Schizosaccharomyces pombe: one gene and its partner. The main gene of each other region encodes a partner of the protein of the gene in region 2 in a complex. Each region holds a gene or a part of one and is shown on either strand. Other genes may lie near its edges. A codon is read from its position in the direction of its gene.

Region 1 (3,884 bases), on a different chromosome or scaffold from region 2:
TGCTGAACCTCGTTCCTCAGTTCAGTTATGAGCTATATTAGTGATAGGTAACATTATAACCCAGTTAATACAATACCTATACTCAGTTGCTACTTATACAACCTGTGTATTGTAATATAATAGATCACAAGGAAAACTCACCGTAGTTCTACGTATCCTTAAATCAGATACCAAACTGCGTAGCGTACATACCAATTCTAAATACTACTATTCCTACAATACATTAATGTCAGCTTATATAAAATACACTACGATACACTATAACATATGCTCTAATATTCTATTTGCTCTATTTACTTACAAGATAAGTTATCAAGAAGATTATAATAGTGTTCAATAATAAAAAGATGTTATTTTATTACATAGTTTTTTCAATGCTTTAAATTAAGACAAACTGAACCTCGTTCCTCAGTTCAGTTATTAGCTAAATCGGTCACCAATACTAGTAGACTTATAACAATAAATATAATATTGTTAGTGAAGCATACCCATACCGTTATCTTGTAGCCCGCAAAAGAAACTCATCGCATTTTAGTGTATCGCTAAACAAATACCAAACTACGTAGCAAACAATAAATCGCGTAGGTTATTCATTAAAAGCCTCTAGGATATGTATGGGTATAATTTGTATATTTAAACGGTCTATTTCAAATCCTTCCTCGTGTTCGTGGCTTTAAAACAGCATAAAAAGATTACCACTGAAATCAAAATTTCGTTTGAGTTAGGTGAACGGAAAGAGTACTCTAACAGCATATTCAACCATATGTACTTCAATTCATGACATTTTTGTAATGGAACATATCATATCAAAAAACAATACTTCATACTTTATTGTATCATTAAACCAATACTGAGCTGCGTACTAACAACATATAAGTTTTCACTACTTTGCTTCGTTATAGATTATAAAGTGAAGGATTCATCGCAACAAAAATTCACGTTTGGTTTGGTAAAGTCGTCATTTAACTAAAAAATAATATATTCTTCGTTTCATATGGAATGTATTTAATCAGTACGTTCATTGAAAACACTGTTCTTGTTTTTGCAATGCAGTGATTTTAGTTCGCTTATTTCGCAGCATAATAAGTAGACATGAAAAATTGACGGAAATAGAGCATTTGATATCTAGAAATTCAGGCTTTTTTTAAGTTCGTAACTTAATTTGAGTGATTTCGTCTGAGAAATAGAAGCGTCTTTTTTACGAAAGAAGTTTTTGCGCCATACTTATATATTGTTATACTAGAACGTAGTTAAAAAAGATGAAGCTATACGAGCGTAATGTACAAGGTATTCATTAATTTATAAACATATAATATGCAGGCCTTTCGGTTATGGAAGTTTAACTCAATTAAAGCCTCGCTAAGTTACAATAATTATAAGTGAACCGCTTTTAGTGTATAATTAACTTGAAGGCCTCTCAATGCACAGAGTAGTTTAAAATTTTTCTATATCGTTTCATATGTAGCTTCAATAATTTTTTAAACATTTCCATTAAGAATGAGAAGCATGCTGCTTTTTACCTTCAAAAGATTATACATAGCTGTTGTAGAACTGTATTATACGTCCCAAATGCAATATTAAATTTTTCAGCTTTTATCATACAGCTTTTAGATATTTATTCTTTATAATAAATGGATTTTCAATTAATGTTTTCTTTGATAAAGCTGCAAAACAGTACGAAGCGTTTAACTGTGAATAACGCTGCACTTTAGCTTCCACTATTTAATGATAGCTTAGATACAATAAATAACCTTATTTCATGCTCGTTGGGGTTTAGTTCAAAGTGATGAGCTACAAAGCCAGAACAAACTACTTTACATCATTTCAAAATGGGAAATGTTCAATCTCAGGAGGGTAATGTCCTTTAAGTTAAACACATGTGAAATAAGTATCTAATTTAATGTTAGGAGAGACTCGCGCACATGCTGTCCCTTCTCAAGATGCCACAACAACGCCTGACAATGCAAATAACGTTCCAAAAGAACCACGTGCCCAAAGCATGATTAGTATTGCTGCAGATGATTTGAATCAAGAAGGTGAAATGTCGGATGATAATCAGCAGGAAGGCGGTAATAATCGTACTTCCCAAAACGGAACTTCAGGATCGAGTGGTCATACGAAACGCCGTTCTCAAACTTCAGGCAAGAAGACACATCAGCCTTATTCTGGTAAGTTTCTTTAAGACCGGTTTATTTGATTGCTTGACATCCTTATGTAACAAGGGTGATTTACCGTAACATTGCATTATCATTTAAGCTGTTGACCTTAACGTTTGTTTGCAATAGTTTTCAGAAAGGAGATTTTTTGCAATTGACAATTTAATTACTTACACATATAGGTCCTTGTGTGCCAACCATTATTCGATGGAGAGGAGGCGGTGAAGTTGTTTATGTCACTGGATCGTTTTCTCGTTGGAAGAAAAAAATCCAATTACTGAAAAGGTATGAGTTTTTCATGGTGTGCTTTTTTCTATATTTGAGCCTCCCTTTATAGGTTGTTTATCCTGTTTTAAGCTTGCTAACTTTTTCGCCAAATAGCGAAGATTACACTGTCCTTTTGCAATTACGTCCTGGAACTCAGCGTTTTAAATTCTTGGTTGATGGTATATGGTGCTGTTCTTCAGATTTTCCAACTGCCACCGATGCGGAAGGCAACCTTTACAACTACCTCGAGGTGGAAGCTAATGAGAAGTTAGGCGCTAGTATTGATGAAAGATTGAGTCAAGTTCATACGGACCTTCCGATGGAGGAAAAGTCTGAATCTGAGCAATATTCTACGGAGATACCAGCTTTTCTTACTAGCAACACCCTTCAAGAGTTGAAGTTGCCAAAGCCCCCTTCTCTACCTCCTCATCTTGAGAAGTGTATCCTTAACTCAAATACTGCCTATAAGGAGGATCAGTCTGTCTTGCCAAATCCTAATCACGTCCTTTTAAACCATTTAGCAGCTGCAAATACCCAGTTAGGCGTTCTCGCTTTAAGTGCTACTACGCGCTATCATCGAAAGGTAAGTCGGTTCCTTATACGCGTTGCTTGACTAACTTTGTTTCCCCAGTATGTCACTACTGCTATGTTTAAAAATTTTGATGTCTAGCCATACCGCATCTGTCGAATTTATTGTTTATATTTCGCGACGTATATAATCACTTTAATGATAAATTTATTTTTTTAAATTTCTCAAACATCCCATCATTATACTTCATTTGATTGGTTTATTTGCACGATTTTGTTTCGAGAAAACTTTACGCTGTGATATCAAGCACAAAGCAACCAGTTCATATTTCACTATGTAGCGATCCATAGGTTAATTAATTTTTATAAATACATATCTAGTTACTTCACTTCACGATGTTATTCTCTTAATCCTTTGCGTAACGGAACCTTTTCCACAAATATAGCAATAGGTAGAAGAACGAAAAAATCGCGACTCCATTAGTCACCCATTCTACGACATGTTTATAGGATAAATCGGCTATTGGAATAGATATGCTTAAGGTTGTTGGATCGTTTTGTAAGGTATATTTGTTCTTACTGGAAAACAGAAATCTGAAATCATTTACTTTGTCTTCAGTGTCACAATTCCAGAAAAACTTGGGATTTGTTAATGATGTTTTTAAGTATGTTTGTCCTTTGAGAGGGCTTTGATAACGTGTGTGTAAGGGAATGATAGTGTCTATATAGTCTTTTTGCAACAAACCATCGTCCGTATATATGTCAAACCAGAAAAAAGACCCAGTACCATTTAATTTGTAACTAGGTGCTTCCAAGTCGGTCTCACCCCAAATTCCTAAAACATGCCCTAAATTGTCGGCATGCATTTCCGCAATATTAGATAGCTCGTACCTGTCAATAAACAATGTAGGTGGTATGTACATGAACCCCTGC
Region 2 (4,001 bases):
ATGCACTACTTTTTTAGGTTTCTTCTGAAGCTCAGTACTGTTGAGAATGTTCTAATTACGACTCAAGAATTGACGGATAATAGCTCGAATAATAAATTTGAGGCGACATAAATGGTTACAAGTTGATTAAAGAACATAGAGATTAATACACATACTGTTAAATATGGTTCAATTGTTGAATTCATTTGGACTTTAATTCCAGCTTTAATCTTAATTTTACACGCATCATAATGGTTTCACTCAAAAAATCAGATTCAGTAATATAAAACAATTTACTACTGACTGAGTACAACGATATTTTCATCTAAAAAAAAATCTGAAAATATAAAGAATATTGTTATTTAAAAGAAAGGAGAACAGACTACGACAAATTGAAAAAAATGAAGGAATTGGTAAACAAAATGTATCTATCGAAAACAACGCTGTACTACGTAAAGTGAATACTGTTCGTAACCGCATTCCATACGGATGGCTAGAATCCAGTAACCCTGCCCTAAACTGTGACTGCTTTATCTCATTAAACCTGCGAGAAGTCAAATTATGAGCTACCATCTGCAATCACCATGTTGTTGTACAAGGACGTTATTTCTGGAGACGAACTCGTTTCTGACGCCTACGACTTGAAGGAGGTAGACGATATTGTCTACGAGGCTGATTGCCAAATGGTCACTGTCAAGCAAGGTGGTGATGTTGACATTGGTGCCAACCCTTCTGCCGAGGATGCTGAGGAGAATGCTGAAGAGGGTACTGAGACTGTAAACAATCTTGTTTACTCTTTCCGTTTAAGCCCTACTTCTTTTGACAAGAAGTCCTATATGTCTTACATCAAGGGTTACATGAAGGCTATCAAGGCTCGTCTTCAAGAAAGCAACCCCGAGCGTGTTCCTGTTTTCGAGAAGAATGCCATTGGATTCGTCAAGAAGATTTTGGCTAACTTCAAGGACTACGACTTTTACATTGGTGAGAGCATGGATCCCGACGCAATGGTTGTCTTAATGAACTACCGTGAGGATGGTATTACTCCCTACATGATCTTCTTCAAGGACGGTCTTGTTTCTGAGAAGTTCTAAATGCAAATTTGGGTTCTTATAAGGGAGTTTCTAACTGGGAACATGATATCATGTCTAAATTTTATAGTTTTGTGAATTAGTTTTCACAAAATTTCATTAGGATTAGAACAGGGGTTTTTGTTCTGATAATAATTAATTATGCTAGCTTATAATCATGTTCAAATTGAAATTAGTGTTTTTTTATCGATTTTGTATTTGGTTGAATGGAAGATTGAGGTATCGATGTTTTAAAACGTGTGTGCTAAAATTCATGAATCTATTTATATATTAACAGGCCGAAATAATTTAGTAAGTAAGGATATGGTTTGAAATTTGGTATTTTACCATTAATTTAGTGTATTTTTTTGCTTTTTATCGAAGTTGATAATTCAAGTCCTTTACGAGGAATAGCCAAACTTTTGTTATGGCGACACTAGACGACCCGGTAGCCATTGAAACTTTGTTACAGTCGAAACTATAGTTTACTGTTAGTACTAAAGATTTGGGAAATTTTTGCTCGACGATGTTATTTTTGTAGCGGACGACTATTGGATTAAATTTATGCTTAATTGTTAAGCCTTTTAATCAATCTTATCATTGAGTTAATAGACTAGTTGCATTTAATTTTGTCAATGTATATTGTTACGTTTAAATAGTAAACTATATAAGCAGTTTAAATCAACGAGTTTAGCTACAATATTCCCCTAAGTGAAATATATCATTTAAAAGCACTAACAAATACGCATAATTTAGGCATTGTACTATTTGCAACTAATTACTTAACACCTCGATTTGTTGCCCTTGTGCGGGTTACCATTCCCCTCGCTCATTTATCTAGTCTCTTTTACCAACCACACCATATATCCTTTGACGAGGTCATGACAGACGTTCAAGAGACCCAAAAAGGAGCACTCGTAAGTGATATGGAATAGATTTTTTATTAAATAGAAATAATTATTAATCTATGTGATGTACAGAAAGAAATTCAAGCATTTATACGCTCGCGTACAAGTTACGATGTTTTGCCTACGTCCTTCCGTTTAATCGTGTTCGATGTTACGCTTTTTGTAAAAACATCACTTTCTCTTCTTACATTAAACAGTACGAAAGATTTTTCATTACAGATGTGAAATCAACTTATTAATCACGTCTTAGATATCGTCAGTGCTCCTTTATGGGACAGTGAAGCGAATAAGTTTGCGGGCCTTTTAACGATGGCGGATTTCGTCAATGTTATTAAGTATTATTACCAAAGCTCTTCATTTCCCGAGGCTATAGCTGAGATTGACAAATTTCGATTGTTGGGACTTCGTGAAGTGGAAAGAAAGATTGGCGCCATTCCTCCGGAAACTATATATGTTCATCCAATGCATAGTCTTATGGATGCTTGCTTAGCCATGTCAAAGAGCCGTGCTAGAAGAATTCCTTTAATTGACGTAGATGGCGAGACAGGCAGCGAAATGATTGTATCTGTTTTGACACAATATCGAATTTTGAAATTTATCTCCATGAATGTTCGTAAATCGTGTTATGTTTTTATATTTACTAATTTCAAATTTAGTGCAAAGAAACCGCAATGCTACGGGTACCATTAAACCAAATGACAATTGGGACATGGTCAAATTTAGCTACCGCGTCTATGGAAACGAAAGTCTATGATGTTATTAAAATGCTTGCCGAAAAGAATATATCTGCCGTCCCAATCGTTAATTCTGAAGGTTTGTGAGATGTTTTGAATTTTTTCTGTGAATAATTTATATATTAACTGAGCAGGTACCCTGCTAAATGTCTATGAATCGGTGGATGTAATGCATCTTATACAAGATGGTGATTATAGTAATTTAGACTTGAGCGTAGGCGAGGCTTTATTGAAAAGACCAGCTAACTTTGATGGCGTCCACACTTGTCGAGCTACTGATCGTTTGGATGGTATTTTTGATGCTATTAAGCATTCCAGGGTTCATCGTCTTTTCGTGGTTGATGAAAACTTGAAGCTCGAAGGTATTTTATCTTTGGCTGATATTTTAAATTACATAATATACGATAAAACGACTACGCCCGGCGTTCCCGAACAAACTGATAATTTTGAATCTGCCGTATAATTTGATTCTCGTGCGCTTCAGCCTGAATGCATTCATAATCTGTTGAAAACATTGCCAAGTCTCATGATATTTGAAGTTAAACCGTTGAGTTGTTTCTTTTTTTTTGCATGGCAGCTCGAGGTGGTATCTAATTCAGTGTACTCGAATGAGGCTTCTTTTATTTCAAAAAGTATTAATTCGGTTATTACAACTTCTGTCTATATAATATGATGTGACTTGTACCATTATGCTAATGCCTATCTAATTAAATAACTAACACATGCCTTTCATTAGCTACTAAGTTCGCATTTTTCTAGGAATGCATCAATTAACCGATCGTAAGTGTAATTTTCTTGTAAATATTCTTTCATATATGCATATTGTTCAGGTATGAGTATTAAAAGCTGCGTTGGCAGTAGATTACAATAATTTAATGTTCTTCGCATTCCATGCTACCAATAATTATGGAAGATGTACGAGTTAAATGACAGATCAATTGTGTGCAAGAAACTTCACACTCGCCGAGCATATGAAGTAGTTATTTACAACTAAGAAAGCTAACCTTTTCCGTAATGATAAGAGAGGGACGCATATCTAATCAACACACTACAAACTCATCTATATGTTAAAAATTTTCTTGAGTTCAGCAATGGTATCGTCAGGATTAGTAACAGAATGTCCGATAGTACGAGGGTCGACAAAAATTTCATAATCATTGCCGCCTTTGTATGTCTTGTCTCCAAAAAAGTGAATTGTATCAAATCCCTCTTTCTCTACGTGTTGCAAGCAATATGTCTTATCCCAACCAGCAGGGAACACATCAAAAGAGATTTGACCTCCAATGGAAAATGTCAATCCATAATCCTTGAAT

What was found. The genes of interacting proteins can lie anywhere in the genome.
Region 1: the proteins of cbs2 (region 2) and amk2 are in contact, whole or in part, in a crystal structure (PDB 2QR1), measured with the Schizosaccharomyces pombe proteins. Residues at the interface, in NP_001342925.1 of Schizosaccharomyces pombe: Tyr25 (codon at 2,063), Asp26 (codon at 2,066), Val27 (codon at 2,069), Leu28 (codon at 2,072), Pro29 (codon at 2,075), Thr30 (codon at 2,078), Ser31 (codon at 2,081), Phe32 (codon at 2,084), Arg33 (codon at 2,087), Leu34 (codon at 2,090), Ile35 (codon at 2,093), Val36 (codon at 2,096), Phe37 (codon at 2,099), Asp38 (codon at 2,102), Thr40 (codon at 2,108), Leu41 (codon at 2,111), Thr45 (codon at 2,123), Ser48 (codon at 2,132), Leu49 (codon at 2,135), Leu52 (codon at 2,144), Asn53 (codon at 2,147), Asn54 (codon at 2,150), Ile55 (codon at 2,207), Trp61 (codon at 2,225), Ser63 (codon at 2,231), Arg101 (codon at 2,345), His123 (codon at 2,411), Pro124 (codon at 2,414), Met125 (codon at 2,417), Asp147 (codon at 2,483); in NP_588485.1 of Schizosaccharomyces pombe: Leu241 (codon at 2,869), Glu249 (codon at 2,893), Asp250 (codon at 2,896), Gln251 (codon at 2,899), Ser252 (codon at 2,902), Val253 (codon at 2,905), Leu254 (codon at 2,908), Pro255 (codon at 2,911), Asn256 (codon at 2,914), Pro257 (codon at 2,917), Leu272 (codon at 2,962), Val274 (codon at 2,968), Thr281 (codon at 2,989), Tyr283 (codon at 2,995), His284 (codon at 2,998), Arg285 (codon at 3,001), Lys286 (codon at 3,004), Tyr287 (codon at 3,055), Val288 (codon at 3,058), Thr289 (codon at 3,061), Thr290 (codon at 3,064), Ala291 (codon at 3,067), Met292 (codon at 3,070), Phe293 (codon at 3,073), Lys294 (codon at 3,076), Asn295 (codon at 3,079).

Annotation. Positions count from the first base shown.
Region 1 is NC_003421.2:2,206,945-2,210,828, reverse strand, and holds amk2 (serine/threonine protein kinase AMPK (beta) regulatory subunit Amk2), read left to right. Parts: upstream 1-1,801; 5' UTR 1,802-1,829; coding exon 1,830-1,854; exon of another isoform or gene 1,855-1,907; coding exon 1,908-2,168; exon of another isoform or gene 2,169-2,338; coding exon 2,339-2,441; intron 2,442-2,537; coding exon 2,538-3,006; intron 3,007-3,054; coding exon 3,055-3,093; 3' UTR 3,094-3,344; downstream 3,345-3,884. Other genes in the region: pbn1 (GPI synthesis protein pig-X), read right to left, coding at 3,359-3,884. UniProt on the Schizosaccharomyces pombe protein: Beta subunit of AMP-activated protein kinase (AMPK), which is required for transcriptional, metabolic, and developmental adaptations in response to glucose limitation.
Region 2 is NC_003424.3:3,806,597-3,810,597, reverse strand, and holds cbs2 (protein kinase activator), read left to right. Parts: upstream 1-1,895; 5' UTR 1,896-1,927; coding exon 1,928-1,963; intron 1,964-2,026; coding exon 2,027-2,150; exon of another isoform or gene 2,151-2,204; coding exon 2,205-2,563; intron 2,564-2,610; coding exon 2,611-2,767; intron 2,768-2,822; coding exon 2,823-3,151; 3' UTR 3,152-3,466; downstream 3,467-4,001. Other genes in the region: tma19 (translationally-controlled tumor protein), read left to right, coding at 564-1,070; phosphomannomutase Pmm1, read right to left, coding at 3,749-4,001.